3 linked regions of the Drosophila melanogaster genome follow. The protein of the gene in region 3 interacts with the protein of the main gene of each other region in a pairwise test. Each region holds a gene or a part of one and is shown on either strand. Other genes may lie near its edges.

Region 1 (6,222 bases), on a different chromosome or scaffold from region 3:
CCACTATGCGATTACTTTAAATGTGAAATCCTCTTGCTGAAGATAGCGATTATAACTTGTAGTACTATTCTCTTTAGTCTGGTTATGTCTGTGTGTCTGTGTCTGTGTGTCATTGTGAGTTTATCGTAAAGCAACTCTGCAGTAGTTCAGTTTCTTACCGGTAGGAGGCTTTTTAAAAAAAAACTGCAAGCCATGTAAGCGGTACAAAATTTGGGTCTTGGCAGCCAATTTGTTTTTCTTTAAATGTTTCCGCCAATTATAAAACATCATTCGTATTAAAGTATATCTTACTATCTATCGATTTTAAACTACAAATCATTAAATGCGTCCTAAAATTACTACAGTTATGGTTAAGTGAGCACCTGCTTGTCTACATTACATGGTTTTTACCATTACATTTTACATGGTTCTTACCAACAATTTTTTTACAGCGCGACATCTATCTCTGATTTCAAGAACCGCACCATCATGACCGCTGAAAATTAGCTATGTTTGAATTGGTCGCGCAATAAGAAATTATATTTACGCACTTAAATTAAATACATTTACTTTTACAAATCAACACTTTTCATAATTTATTTGCCGAGAAAAACAATTGGTAAACCGTTTAACACTACACGTACAGATGGAAATTAAGATTTCACCACTATTTTAAACACTATGTTACTATGCTTAGCTATCGACTATGAGTAATCCTCCGGTGTCCGGATTGGTTAAGTACTATTCAATGGGTGACCGATGGGGCTAGGCCTGTAGCTGCTGCTGGGTGGTGCAAGTGGTGGTGATGGTGATGGTGGTACGTCAGCGTGGGCGGTGGTGGTGGAGGCGGTGGATGGCCAGGGGGCGCGGCCACTGTCGGCGCAGTGGATCCTCCGGCAGTGGCAAATCCACCTGCTACCGCCATTTGTTGCTCGTAGCTGGTGTAGTGATCGTAGTAGCCGCCGTATCCGACTTCCAGGCCATTTCCGGTTGCAGTATTTCCTGGTGCCGTAGTAGTTCCTGTGTCGAAATAGCTGACTCCATTATAGCCACTACTGCTCTCGTAGTAGTGATGTCCCGCTGTCTGATTTCCACCGAACTGTTGGTGGCTCTGCTGCTGCTGGTGGTGGTGCTGTTGCATTTCGTACTCCGCCTTGGGGCTATAGTAGTAATCGTAGTTGTCCTCCACATACGGCTGCGTCTCCACGGTGGCATTGTACTTAATGGTGGGTCCCGGTTCGGCCTTGCAGCTGATCTCCTCCTGACCACCGCCACCACCCAAATGCTTGATCTGCGAGTAGTTGATGAACTCCGGTTCCGGAGTGGCCAGTTGCGGGCTGGAATCATAGGCTACTGCCTGGCATTGTGTGTGTCCGTGCACGGGAACACCCATCGCAAAGCTGTTCCCGCTGGAGGATTGCTGGTATGCGGCCAGTTCCGAAATGCTGCAGGCGTAGGGCAAACTGGGAGATTTACTAGGTGCCGCGGTGGCCGCCGCTGGAGTTGCATGGTAGATGGGATAGTTATAGGTGATGTGCTGGTGGTTGACCGTAAACACATTAGCTGCCGTCTCGCAGGGTGCCGATGACTCGGATCCACTTAGTGGCCAAGAATTGGTGCCGTAATTCGAGGATTGTGACAACTGATGGCTCCTCGCCGTGGTGCTGTCATCCAGGTAGCTGCAAGTGCAGTGGCTATAACCGGCGCACTTGCCACAGGCTAATGGGGGATACAAATTGTAAAAGAAATCTTTAAATATTCTTGTTTTATATACCTACCATTATACTGATATATATCCAATGCGGTGTGAGCCAGAGGATTGCTGACAGCAGGACGCTTAAGAACCTTGCTAATCAGACTGTGTTGTTGCTGTCGTCAGAGAAGAATGGTTAAGATGATACATCCCGGGTGAATGAATGTCTATCTAAGCTCACCTTCGCCTGCTTGACCAGACCCGCAATGACCGACTTCTTGGCGACTGATCCGTTGGCTGACTTTCCAGCCAGCGGCACACGTCCAAAGGCCCGCTTGGAAACACTGGAGTTCTTCGGATCCGGACGCAGGTGATCATGCACTCCCTTGGCCTGAAAAAAGATGGCATTGCCGGAGTGCCGCCAGAAGTGGGTCACCGGATAGCCGCAGTGACCGCGACACGGTTTAATCTCTAGTCTACCGCCACGACAACTTTTGTTGGGACACGCCTTGCCCTCCTGCTTCCGCCGGGCTTTGTCGCAAATGGCTGGGCGCAGGTTGATCTTGGATCCGTTGGGCAGGGTGCAGTGTTGGGAGCAGACCAGGACGCCCAGGCAGCTCTTCTTCAGAATGTTCACGTTGTGGTTGTTCGTGTTGCGCATGGCCCAGCCGGAAATGTGCTTCTTGGCCTCCTCGTTGTGCAGCGAATAGATGTGCCTCACATGCCCGTCGCTCCACTCGTTGAACTCGTCGAACTCCTGGTCCGGCACATGTGGCACAATGGCATCATTGATGTCCCACTCCCGTTTTCCCTTGCCCGTCGACGACGACGGCATGGTCATGGAGCCACCCGCCTGCTGTTGACCAGGACTTGGACCCGGATGCACCGAATGCGTACTCTGACTTTGGGGCTGGACAAACTGGGTAAGCTGAGAATGATCGGGTTGCTGTGTGAGAAGTTGCTGCGTCTTGAAGCTGTAGCCATTTCTGTAGAGGATTTTATATATAATAAGTTGCATTTTATATTCATAGTTAAGAATACTATATTATTATATTTGAATTTTGCCAAAGAGCACAAAACATACTTTAACTTGAGTTCAGATTTTTATATCACTTCTAGTAGCCACATAATAAAAAAACACCACTGCCCTTTTGGAATCTAAGTTAAGGCAAAACTGTGAGTCACAGCATTAACTTTTAAATCGAATTTATTTACATTAAAACTCTTTACATCGAGTAAAAACTTTAAGTGATCCATTTAACTGTGACTTTATCGCCAAAGCCTAAGCATCGTTTAAGGAATTGAAATCCTATCTTAATTGCGCCCTAAACTGTTTCGTAGGGGGCCATCCCAACCCAACACAAACCAATCAAATGAAACGTTTGCCAGGTTTATGGGCCTCATGAAACGCATGGTTATTTAGGCCCAGTTTAGAGGGCTGGTACCGTTAGCCCCAAATCTTGTGCACCAGGTAATCCAAGCTGGCCACAATCGTAATTCGAGCGCCAGTTGAGGAGGCGGAGATGCATATTAAACCGACACTCCGATCGTGAGTCAGCTGGGAATCGCTAGACTCGATGGAGGGCCTCAGCCGAGATTCTCCATGTGTGGGAGTTATTAGAGAGCGAGCTCTGCAATTAGCAATAAATTTGTCTTCCATCGATTTCGAAGCCGATGGATCGATTCGCCTCGGTCCCCTGAGTGTTTTTATGTGTACTTGGAAGTCAGCAGGTTGCACAGCATCTAGCACCAAGAACCACACACCAAATACCTGTGCTACGGTTCGCCTGGTGGTCTTTGGTTTCCCCCGATTGAACCTGTTCGTGGCTAGTGGCTCGCTTTGTTTTGGGTCCGTAAATTGACTGCTCGACACTTCGGGGCGCTCGTTAGTTGGGCTTATCTGATGCTGATAGCGTCTCACTTCGTTCGAGATCTGTATTTTTGGGCCTCCTCTGTCCAGGGCTCATAATAAGTTTGTCACCTAGAAAATATGTCTCTATAAATCGAAGGGGCCGGGGGGGCATCATCATCATCATCGGCTCTTTGACCCTTTCACTCGAGCGCCGCTCCGCCTACGACTGTGTGTGGTCCGCCGGTTTCCAAGATTCGAGATCCCCCTTCCGAAATCCAACATCCAAAATACGAGGCACACCCCGCGGCTCTTTGGAGCGGATTGGACTGGACCGGAGTGCCATTAACTAAGCTGTGGAACGCGCTCAGCGTGATAATAAAGCGTTTGAAATCATTTACATTTTCCCTGACCTCCCCCGCTGCCTCTTTATCGTTTGATTTGTGGCCCATTCTTCATCCGAGATTGATCTGAGGTGTTTGGAAGCTCAACACTTACGCAGATGGCTTGGGTTTAACGCGTGTCGGCACAGTTCAGATCAGCAATAATTTGAAACATTTGTACTGAGAGCTTTTTAATTCTTCGGTAGCTCTATGCCTTGAATAATGTGAGCAAATTAATTTTTAATCCATATTCCTTTGGGTTCCAAGCAGAATAATTTAGAAACTTAGTGAAACCTATTTTAAGCATATTTCAATAATTACCATTATATTTGATAAAAGGTTCGAGAACAAAGTATATGATTATTGTCCTATTAAAAGTATTTTTTGGCAATAAAATTTCGAATTTACATTTGAAAATCTCCGAAAAAGGGACTATTTAGAACTTACATAACAACCATATTCCAATTGAAGCAGCTTCTTTAATCCAGGTATTAGGTGGTATAATTAAAAATATCCAATAAAACCTCAACTGCTCCTAAATGAGTTTTCCGCGATTCGAAAGCCCTGCGAACAGGCAACACTTGAGCATTGTAATCCAATTAGGCGACACTTGTATCCACTGGGCACTTGTATCTCGCGGATAGCCGTCGCTAGTTGAAGCTCCTCGGAACGGATTGGATTGGATTGAACTGAATTGCGCACGCGACGCCGACGATGGGAAACAACCGTGAGAATGACGACCTTTTCGCTGAACCTCGAATACAACCTGCAGGGCGGGATGTGCGCGCGTATCTGGCAGATACGAAAAACAAAAGAGCAGCAGCGGCAGCAGCAGACAAAAACAAACTTCAGCGAGCGAGTAGTAGTGCCAAGTTTTGTCAACAAAGGAATGGTATTATGGCTCTGGCTCCACCTACAAAAACCAACAAAATATTCGAAAGTGGGCGGAGGAGCGGGAAAGCGGGGAAAGCGACGATACAGCGACGAGCCACCCGCATAATTTGCCAAAAAACTCCACGCAGCTGGCAGAGTGGTAAAACGTATCCGTCAGATACATTGCCTTCCAGGCAGTCTCAGTTGCTTCCAGTTCCAGTCGTCTCTTCTCGCCTCCGATTGGTCGGATAAACACGCACACATAGGCTTCCTCTCTTTCGAGAGAAGAGAAGAGAGAGATTTTGAAGTTCCGGCGATGGAGATGGAGGAATTTCTGTGGTGGGGGCTACATACTCGATAAGCATCACAGAAATTTAATTACTTATTATGCCCCTTATCAGTCCCCATTGTTCTGTTTAACTCTGTTTAAGGATATGCCAACAAAAAGCAGTGGAAACCTTTGGCAGAGCATAGATATTCAGGGGTTTATCGTTTGGAATATTCGCCAGATTAGGGGGATGATTAATGGACTGGGTAATGCCGATCTATGCCGCTTAACACGTATTGTAAATTGAACATTCCGATAACTGGCCATGATTGCTTTTTATTTTGAGTCACTTGTATGTATAAATATGTATTCTGTTTCATGGGTCGCCTTAGAAAGGAACGGCATTTGAATCATTAGACTGTTGTCTGTTCATATTAACTATGAAATAAATATAGTTTTGAATTTTCTTTAATTAGTAAACATTTACTAAAACATTCAAAAATTTTCTAATGATACCTAAGTATGTTCTTCCCCCCCAAACACAGCAACTTTCCTCTGGTTATTGGCCAAATAAATTATTTCTCCTAAAGCCACAACATGAGAATACACAAGTGGCAACAATATCAGGGCCAGATCAGCCAGAGGGTGAACTTTTTGGTGAGGCGGGGGCATTGCTGGGCCTAATGCTTGCTGCGTCTTTTGTTTTCACCTGATCAGCCCGCATCGCCATTTGGGCCAAAGTTACAGGGCACAAAAAATAAAATACAATTTATGCATCCACTTGGTAGCACACACTCACAATTAACAGACCAAGAAGAGCAATTTAACAGGGAGAGGCAAAGAAATGGAGGAGCAAATAGGCGTTAAAGTGAAAATTGAAAATGCCGTTGACAGGAAATGTAAATGGTAACAAAAGTGGCAGCGACCGACCAGTGGCAACTGTTGCTGCGCCCCTGCGCTCATCCACTGTGACCCGTAATTAAAAAGGGGCAGGAGGGAATTGGGCCCCTGCAACTATGGCCAGATATATACGGGATTGGGCCTGGAGACGCGTAACTACGCGGATGGCCTGGAAATGGCTGCTGCTGCTGCCGCTGCTGCTGTTGTCGCTTTAACGCTCCACAGCAAATGATACGGGTGACAAATACATTTACCATATATACGAACCAACCAGAAA
Region 2 (3,637 bases), on a different chromosome or scaffold from region 3:
TGTTGGCTCGCTTTCTTTTGCGCGGACATGTGGCCACGAGTAGAGCCAGGCAGGCTTCGGACTTGCCGTTGATCGCAAGTTGTCCCCTGAACGCTTCGGAGGGCATGTGCTTGCTGGTAGGCATTGTCCCGGTAAGGGAAGACTCTCCGCGAAACTTCTTTGGCAAGGCCTTCGAGCAGGCGGCGCAAAAGAGTGGAGTCGCTCTATTGCAGGACTTTTTCGAGCCAGCGGTGGTGCAGCTGCGGCAGAGCGACCTCACACGCTTTCTGGACTCCCTCACGGTGCTGTTAGCCTAATCCACGCCGCTTTCTATTCTACCTGCTACCGACACATCCCTGCTCAATCATATTATGTGCTAAGCTAGTTTTATATCGCGAGACCTCACGTGTACACTTAGTTTAAGATTTTACCAAACCCTATTTATGTACGATTGTGTGTTAATAACTTTATCATTGCTCCCAGGACCACAAAATGCAAAATGTCCTTTTTCAAAAACTAATTGTAAATTTGACCTAGAATAATAAATTTAAATTAAAGTGTTTACCATGGAATTAAAAGTGTCGATTCACGTCTAAAATTTACTCGGCGCTTAAATTTATGAAAACGTATTTACCATGCTATCTATACATGCCGTGTTGGCAGTTGGACTGCCTTCTTACATTTGGTTTATTTTCTGGCTCAGAGGAAACATCATTAGCTAACCAGATTTGCGGCTTGAGCTTGCTGCGTCTGTGCGTTTTTTTTCTTTAGGGGATTAGCGCTGAGGATGCGGGCCGAACCCAAACAAGCTGTGTCGTCATAGAATACGGCATATTGTCCTGGTGTAATAGCTCTTAAAGGAGCGTCCAACTCGACAAGAAAAGTGTTACTGGGAGAGATGCTCAGCTGACAGTCCACCAATGGTTTGGTGTGCTGGAATCGAAAGCGACACCTCAAGCTGCCAGTGTCCGAAAGAATCTGTTGGGACTTGGAACACAGCCAGTTGGGCGGATCGACGGCTATGTGGGTGCTGAGAAGGGCGGGATGGTTGTGGCCAGATGCCACATAGATGGTATTGCTTGCGGCCTCTTTCCTGGCCACAAAATAGGGCTGAAGGAATGAGCTCAGACGGCACCGCTGGCCCACAGTCCATTGATGGATGCCCTCGTGGTGGCCGACAACGGCTCCACTGTCGATGTCTAGGAAGGGACCACGTTTGGAAGTGATGTACTGAAAGTGGAGGGAAACCAGATTTGAGTCCGTGGTGAAATCAAGGAAATTGAGCCATGTGCTTTTTCAATCGCGGCAAGTGCTTTACCTCCTGTATGAAGTCCTTGAAGTTGCGTTTGCCAACGAAACAAATGCCAGTGCTTTCCTTCTTTTTGGCCAGTCGCTGGAAGCCAATCTTCTTGGCCAAGTCCTTGACCTGGCTCTTCTGGAAGTCTCCCAAAGGGAACATCGTGCGTTGCAGAGCCTTTCGGGAAATACCTGCCAAAAAGAATGTCTGGTCCTTGAACGTATCGGCGGGTATTAGCAAGCGGGCGTCGTTGTTGGAGGCAATCCCCTCCAGGTAGTTGCCCAGACTATTCCGGGCGTAGTGACCCGTGGCCACGGCATCGTAGCCGAGATTTTCCAAGGCGTGCTTGTGAAAGAGGTCAAACTTAATGTGGCGATTGCACAGGATGTCCGGATTTGGTGTCAAGCCCATTTGGTAATCGTCCAGAAACTGGCTGAACACCGCCGTCCAGTACTCGCGCACATAGTTCACCTGACGCAGCTCCACGCCGAGCTGCCGGCACGCCCACTCGGCGTCCTTCAGATCCGCCTCCCCACTGCAGCGACCCACTTCGTCCGCCTCATCCCAGTTGCGCATAAACACACCCAGCACCTTGAATCCTTGCTCCGCCAGCAGGTGGGCGGAAACGGCGCTGTCCACGCCGCCCGACACGCCCACCACTACGTTGCGAATCATTGGGCGGTGTTGGCAAAGCAATAATTTCAAAGTTATGTGTTTCACGTTAGACGAACAGCAGTTTTTGTTTATGCGGCAGAAACAGTTGATGTGCTTTCCGTTAGTTTTTGGTATTTATTTTGGGTATACCATGGTATTATAAACTATCGCATCGGTGGTCACACTAATAATACCGGCGTTTAATGCGCTGTCAGTTCAGTTCATTCAGTCGGGCCATGAAGCAAAGCTCCGCGCATTGTGGATTTGCGCGTGTCGAAAGGGGAAACAGCAAAAACGCCATTTTTTTCGAGTAACGGTGCGTGCGTAATTTTATCCGTTATCTTTCCTCGACAAACATTCGAACTGGGAAACAACAGGAATTCCATTTTTTCGAGTTAAGGTAGGTCAGTAATTTAACCGTAATATTTTCTCACCAAACTGTAGAAATGGGAAAGGAGCGAAACTCCATTTTTACGACCGAAACTCCATTTTTTCGAGTGAACACTGTGTGTGTTGTGTATGTGGGAGGAGTCACTTCTGAGTGCACGTTTTCCCCCTCATCCGTTATCTATCCGTCTCTTTTTTTCTGTTTTTTTCCGCAAATGGGCATGATGCAGTTTTTGAGAATTATGCTCGCATTCTAGTCGCACACGGGACTAGACACCGTGCGCATTTTGACTCGGCATTCTTACGGGGCATTGCCGGCTTCACAGCCATTTGTACAAATTGGCATTGCAGAAGTGAACTCTGTCGCTTCTGCTGCATGGATGGCGCTTGGCCATCAAGAGAAACAGAATCCCCTGAACCACAATAAAATTCTGGCATTTATACAGTGCATTGGACTTCAGGGGGATCGTTGAGTCATGAAGGGGTAGTAGTACAATAGAGCCGACTGGGTCGCAGTACACCTACAAACCCACTTAATAATAATAAGTCGCTAACAGTTGTGAAGTAAAGTGTATAAGTTGTGAAACAACAAGAACTCCATTTTTTTTTAAGGTGCGTGTGTGTGTCACGCTTTCTTTTCTCCCTCATCTGTTATTTATCCTTCCATAACAAACATTCGAAATAGGAAACAACAGCAACTCCATTTTTTTTCGAGTGAAGATGTGTGTGTGTGTGTGTGTGTTAGAGAAGAGCCACTTCTGATTGCACGTTTTCGCCCTCATCCGTTATTTATCCGTCTCTCCTTTCGTGGCAAATCGGCATACTGCAGAGTATTTCGACAAAAAGCATGAACTTTTATGCACCTGCGATGACGAATGCCCGTCGATGTTCTTTGCATGTTTTTTTGTATTTCATCATGGCTAGGGCTGCTGTCTGGGCTTGGGTCGAGGAAGGGCATCCTAGGTCGCAAATGATGGCCAAGTGGTCACTGGCAGTGTATTCCTCGCTGAGTCTCCACCACCTGAACCTGGGTCCGGCCTCTAGCATCCGCTGTCAGTGATCAGCGTGATCAGCGGTTCCGCCAGATTGGCTGGAACTGCTATTTCAGCAGTCTTCCCTCCATACTGCGTTTGTCAGAGGCTCTTGATTGCCAACACTGCTGCTGTGATCTCTGTCTGGGACTCCAGGCCCACCTCAGTTCGTCTTCAGTAGTAAGCTCGTCAAGGTCGCGAATCAAAAATACTTTTGATTGTGTTACCGCGCGAAGGCTGGCGCGGTCTCGAAGCACCGCTCCCATGTCCACTTGAGCTTCTGTGTCAA
Region 3 (5,051 bases):
TTCTTTTCTGAATTCTCCGCCCATTTTCCAGACAGGTGTGACTCAAATTTCTCTCGAAACGCTTGCAAATTGTTGCCAATTTGGCAAAAATTATTCTGCACTCGATTTTCATGCACACACACACACACACGCTCACATGCAGGCGAAAGGAATGTGGATATGCAAAAGAAAGTGGCAAGCTTCAATTGCATTTCCCACTTTTTCTGTGGTCACTACCTACTGGTCGAGCTATTTAAGAGTTCGTCTGCTTTTACGCTATTTCGGCGACTTTGTGGCTTAAAGCGATTCACGCAGAACTCTTCAATTTTAATTTTTTGGGTTTGCCAGTGTGACCACGAACGTTTATCTAGATATACTTCTTGTGTGGTCGAAAATACCCTAAAATGCATCGCGTCACTGCTTAGCCGTGACTCAAACCTATTTGTGGTTTTTAAAATGTGGAATTGTAGGGTAACACTATTAATTTTAAATGTATTTTTTAAATTTGCAAATATTTATATTTTTTGAATTTAAAACCGCCCATTTAAAAAACGAACGACTACACTTGTTAACATAATATGTATTTTCTCATCTCGCATCCCTCGCAGTATCCTGGCATACACTTTAAGCTAAGTAATTCGTTAGTTAAGTAGATCTATACAAAATTGGTCTAAACTGTGGAAATAATCGGGAATAGTTGCACTTTATGTTTGAAGTCGAAGAATGAATACACAATTCAGTTGGTTACATTAAATGCGCGCATAGCAGCCTCGGGGCCAGACATCAAGAGACACATAAAACAAAGGAGACACAACTTGACAACCGAATGGAATACAAAAAATACAATCGCATAAGCTGCTCGCCACGGTTTCTAGTTCATCAGCAGATTCCAGGCGTCGTCCTCGGCAGTGCCTTTGTTGGCGGACGAGGCCGTTGCCGTCTTGGGCTTCACACTCTTCACGTCCAGGCTCTCGAAGCCCTCGCTCAGCTTCTGCGATGTGTCCTGCAGCTTCATGTTGCGGCGAGCTGTCGATCCGCCGGACGAAGCGTTCTGGTAGGAGGTCTCTGAACTCTGATAGTTCGTCGCCTCGAAGCCGGACCAGTCAGCGTCGCGGGTTAGGCCGGCGGAGGCGGTACCGCCGCCGCTGCTGCTACTCAACTGATTGTGGTACGAACTCGAGCTGGTCATGTGCGACTTGCTGTTGCCGTTGTCCTGCCAGCCGCCCCAGTCGCTGTCGCTGACGCCGCTCTGCTGACCCAAGCCTCCGGCCAGATTACCGCCCACGGAATTGGAACGCTGGTAGGCGCTGCTGTCCTCGAAGTTGGGATCGTTGTATCCGCCCTGCGGCGACGAAATGTTGCTGCCCGCCAGATTATTCCAACCTCGTTTGCCCATATCGGTGACCTGCGATCGGTATGTTTATATGTTAGAGGGATGTGGGTTTAGAGAAGATTAACTGGATGATGGGGAACTACAGACCTTGCTGGCTACATCGGTAACTCCGCATTGTACGGAATCTAGCAGAGTTCCCTCTTTAATCTACAACCAAAAAAAGATGCAAATAAATAATACAAACAATAAGGTGTACCAATTAAATTAACAAACAAATATGGGGATTAACTAAAGGGATTTTGCTCTCTTTTGTTGTTAAGGTGGGTTTCTACAGCTTTAAATTATTTAAAACTAATCAGCAGACTAATAATAAACCAAAAGAATACAAAATCAACATAATATTGAACCAAATCGAAGAGAATAGGCAAATAAGGAATCAAAATCTGAAAGATATACGAGCTGAGGCGCAGGACTCACCTTTGTCGAGGCCAAATTGACGGTGGTGACGGCCTTCTCCTTGGCGGTGCTGGCCAACTTGGAGGCGTTGGTGGAGAAAAGGCTCCAGCCAGAGGCCAAAGTGGAAAGCGTCGAGTCGAAAAGCTCCTGAGATTGCGTTTTCGGTGGTGGTTCGCGTGTGAACCCGAAACCTGCATATTTTCCGCCCTGACTCGGTGGCAAGTTTCTGAAACAATCAACTAGGATAAATCATAGCTAATGGACAGATATGCCATTAAGATCCTACTCTGGCCTGGAGGCATTCTCCACTTGGCGTCGGCTGAAGAACTCCTCCTTCTGGTCCTTGAACTCCTGCGTTTGGTACTGCTGATAGCCTCCAGGCTCGGCGCCTCCGCCATTCTGATAGCCTCCGTTTCCGCCATAACCTGTTGCACTGGGTCGCGACTGGTAGCTGCTGTTGCTGGAGCCACCTGAGCTGAAGCTATTGTTGCTGCCCACGCGGCCTTGCGCCTCCTTGAGATCCCAGCTCTTGCCCTGGGCCAAGGTGGCTATCTTATCGCGGTACAAAGCAGCCGCCTTCGAGTTGTAACGCTGCGTGATAGGCGCCCGTTCGTTCCAGTCCTCCTGATCCTCCAGAAACTCGCGCGCATTGCGATTGCCGCCCGCCTTCATCTTCTCCAGCTCGATGTCCTTCCACTTATCCATAGTGACGGAGCGCACGAAGGACAGATGCACGCCCAGACTGCGATGCTTGCCGGAGCACTCCAGGCAGATCCAGATGCCGTAGGTCACGGACACCCACTGCGGATTGTGGGTACCGCACTCGAAGCATTTCTAGTCATTTTTAAACAAAGAAATTGAAGCTTATCTAGCGTATGTGGACAAAGGAGCAAACCTACCGAGTTCTCATCCTGGGGTTTCAGTTCCTGGAGCACCCGTCGCGTTCTGGGACTCGCCATGGCAACTGGTTTCTATGGTTTCTGGCCCTGCTCTGGCGGATTGCCCAACTCTTTGCGTTCAGTTGGCTTCAGTTTCGCAGCTGATAACCGAGTTGCTAATGAAACTTTTGCTGACGCTGGCGCTGATTTGGGTGCAATCTTGGCTTTGAGATGGGGCGATTTGAAGCTCTCACACACGCTTACGAGCCTTTAAAGTCCACGGATCGCGACGAACGCCTGGCCAAACGCATTTAACAGAGTTTTGAATTTTTTTGGATCAGCTGGGACGCTTGCAATTAATGGCAAATTGGCAAAAAAAAAGTGTTAAGCGTGTCCCACTTGGAATTGGAGATGAGCTGACCACTCACGACAGCATCGATATACCGAATATTGCATGGAAAACCAAAGGAAGTTGGGCATACTATCGATATTTACCCATCTCAAAGTTCCACTTGGATTTTTGTTTTGCAGTGTGACCAAAGTGCAACTAAAGTGGAACGTTCGGAATTGCGATATATCGATAGTTTATTGAAAATGAGCGGGATATTTAAATATCTTAAGCAAACAAGTTTAATATATTTGAAACTGTCTTTCATAAAAGAAAACCTAAAAATATTAGCTTTAACATGTTTTAATGTTTTAATTTAAAATTCTATCGGTTTTATAAAAACAATAAAATATTTTTTTACTCTGTTGCTGTATTATATTTATTGTATATAGCTTGCATATAATATATTCAAGCTGCTTATTTACTAAATATTTCGAAAAAAGTTAGATAAGAACAAATATTTTCGAAATTATATAAATTAAATTAGACATTTAGAAAACCATTTTTATTCATCATTATCCAACATATGTTAATGTTAATGTGTTAATAATGTTAATAATGTTAATATACACATACATATTTTAGCTAAATATTGCACAAAAATCTCTGTCCGCTCTCCAGCAAATTCAATTAACCCAACTCGATGGCATCGCCTTTGTTGCGAGCACGCCGAAAACCCTTCAACAAATTATACATTATCACGCTGATCTGATTTCCAGATCTTCAGTACTCGTGCGGCGACTGGAGATGCAGCGCCGCCAATTTGCGCTGCGTCATCCCGAAAAAAGTTAATAAAAACAGCGATTTATCACACTCCTAACAGTAATCAATCTCCTACCGACTGTCGGTGGATTTTGATTCGATTTCGGTGTTTTGAATCCCGGACAGGGGAAATTACTTACATGATCGACTTCAATGCAAACAGACCGCGGGTGGCAGGGCCACCAAAGATGAAAGGGAACTCAAATCTGAGAGAATTTGGAGCCGCCTAAAAGCCATTTCCCTTTTCCCCATTTTTCAGTGCCCCTTGGAGGAAAAGTCCAAAAGGTAGGTGACCACACGCGTCTGCACATAATTCAATGCCATTCGGATTAGCATATAATTATGCACAATATTTCCGCAGTTCGGCTCTGCCTGCCCACCGCTAATTCCCTTTCAATTTCCAAACTCGCGCATTTATTTAAGTCAGCGTCTTTTGGCATCTCAGCGGATCTATAATTGCCGTCGCACGCCCAACAAGGGGGGCGTGGCAGATCAGATCTGGATGCGAGCGGCAACGAGCATATAATTGCCGCGGCGACCGCAGGATGTGTTGAATTTAAAAGCCTGCCGGGTAATCCGATCGATCGATCCGCCGATCGCCACGTCCCAGCCAACTTACGACTCCTTCCTTCGCTAAGTGAGCCGATGAGCCAGTGAGCCAAAGAGCCGGGCGTTCCTGGCTGGGCACTCGCTCGACGCTTTCAACAACTACTTGTCCCGCTGCCGGAGCGGATCCAATGCACTGAGATAAATAACAGACTTCTCAGATGAGAAAATAACCTTTCATATTCTATCAAGTAGTTAACAAAACGATCTTAGATTTTAGTTCATAATATTATGAGACTACTTCCTTTAGCTTCCTTTCTGTTGAAGACATCTCTTTAGTAAATCAAAATTTTCTAAGTTTGTTCAATCTAAATATAGAATTTTTAGCATTGAAAGATACCGTTATCTGTGTTTAAACTTCACTTATGCCATGTTTTTCCCTAATACAACACTGCATACATTTGAATTTGGTTGGCGCCCTTAATTTCTTCGAGTGTGCTCCGCTGGTGGTGGTCTTATCAGAAGCCGCGGAGTACTCCCCGATCTGCCAGAAATGGCATTGCTGCGCATCCATTATCGGCTCTGTCACTGCTCTTGCTGGGCGCAGCCACGCCCCCAAAAGCGCCACTGGGCATTGGGCAGTGCGTTGAGATCCGTTTTCGTTTCAGCTCCCAGCTCGCAGAGTCCAGGGTTGGATTTTGGGCTTATG

The links.
Region 1: the proteins of ArfGAP1 (region 3) and gcm2 interact in a two-hybrid assay, tested with the Drosophila melanogaster proteins (one large-scale study listed by BioGRID).
Region 2: the proteins of ArfGAP1 (region 3) and CG3021 interact in a two-hybrid assay, tested with the Drosophila melanogaster proteins (one large-scale study listed by BioGRID).

What each region holds. Positions count from the first base shown.
Region 1 is NT_033779.5:9,607,038-9,613,259, reverse strand, and holds gcm2 (gcm2), read right to left. Parts: upstream 4,699-6,222; 5' UTR 4,363-4,698; coding exon 4,352-4,362; intron 2,659-4,351; coding exon 1,914-2,658; intron 1,849-1,913; coding exon 1,758-1,848; intron 1,699-1,757; coding exon 725-1,698; 3' UTR 554-724; downstream 1-553. UniProt on the Drosophila melanogaster protein: Transcription factor with a minor role promoting glial cell differentiation and a more significant role in hematocyte differentiation.
Region 2 is NC_004354.4:1,025,207-1,028,843, reverse strand, and holds CG3021 (uncharacterized protein), read right to left. Parts: upstream 2,054-3,637; 5' UTR 1,952-2,053; coding exon 1,298-1,951; intron 1,210-1,297; coding exon 694-1,209; 3' UTR 554-693; downstream 1-553. Other genes in the region: Cdc45 (cell division cycle 45), read left to right, coding at 1-296. UniProt on the Drosophila melanogaster protein: Catalyzes the 2-thiolation of uridine at the wobble position (U34) of mitochondrial tRNA(Lys), tRNA(Glu) and tRNA(Gln).
Region 3 is NT_037436.4:12,414,486-12,419,536, forward strand, and holds ArfGAP1 (ADP-ribosylation factor GTPase activating protein 1), read right to left. Parts: upstream 3,096-5,051; 5' UTR 2,728-3,095; coding exon 2,668-2,727; intron 2,603-2,667; coding exon 2,055-2,602; intron 1,995-2,054; coding exon 1,790-1,994; intron 1,520-1,789; coding exon 1,460-1,519; intron 1,385-1,459; coding exon 851-1,384; 3' UTR 541-850; downstream 1-540.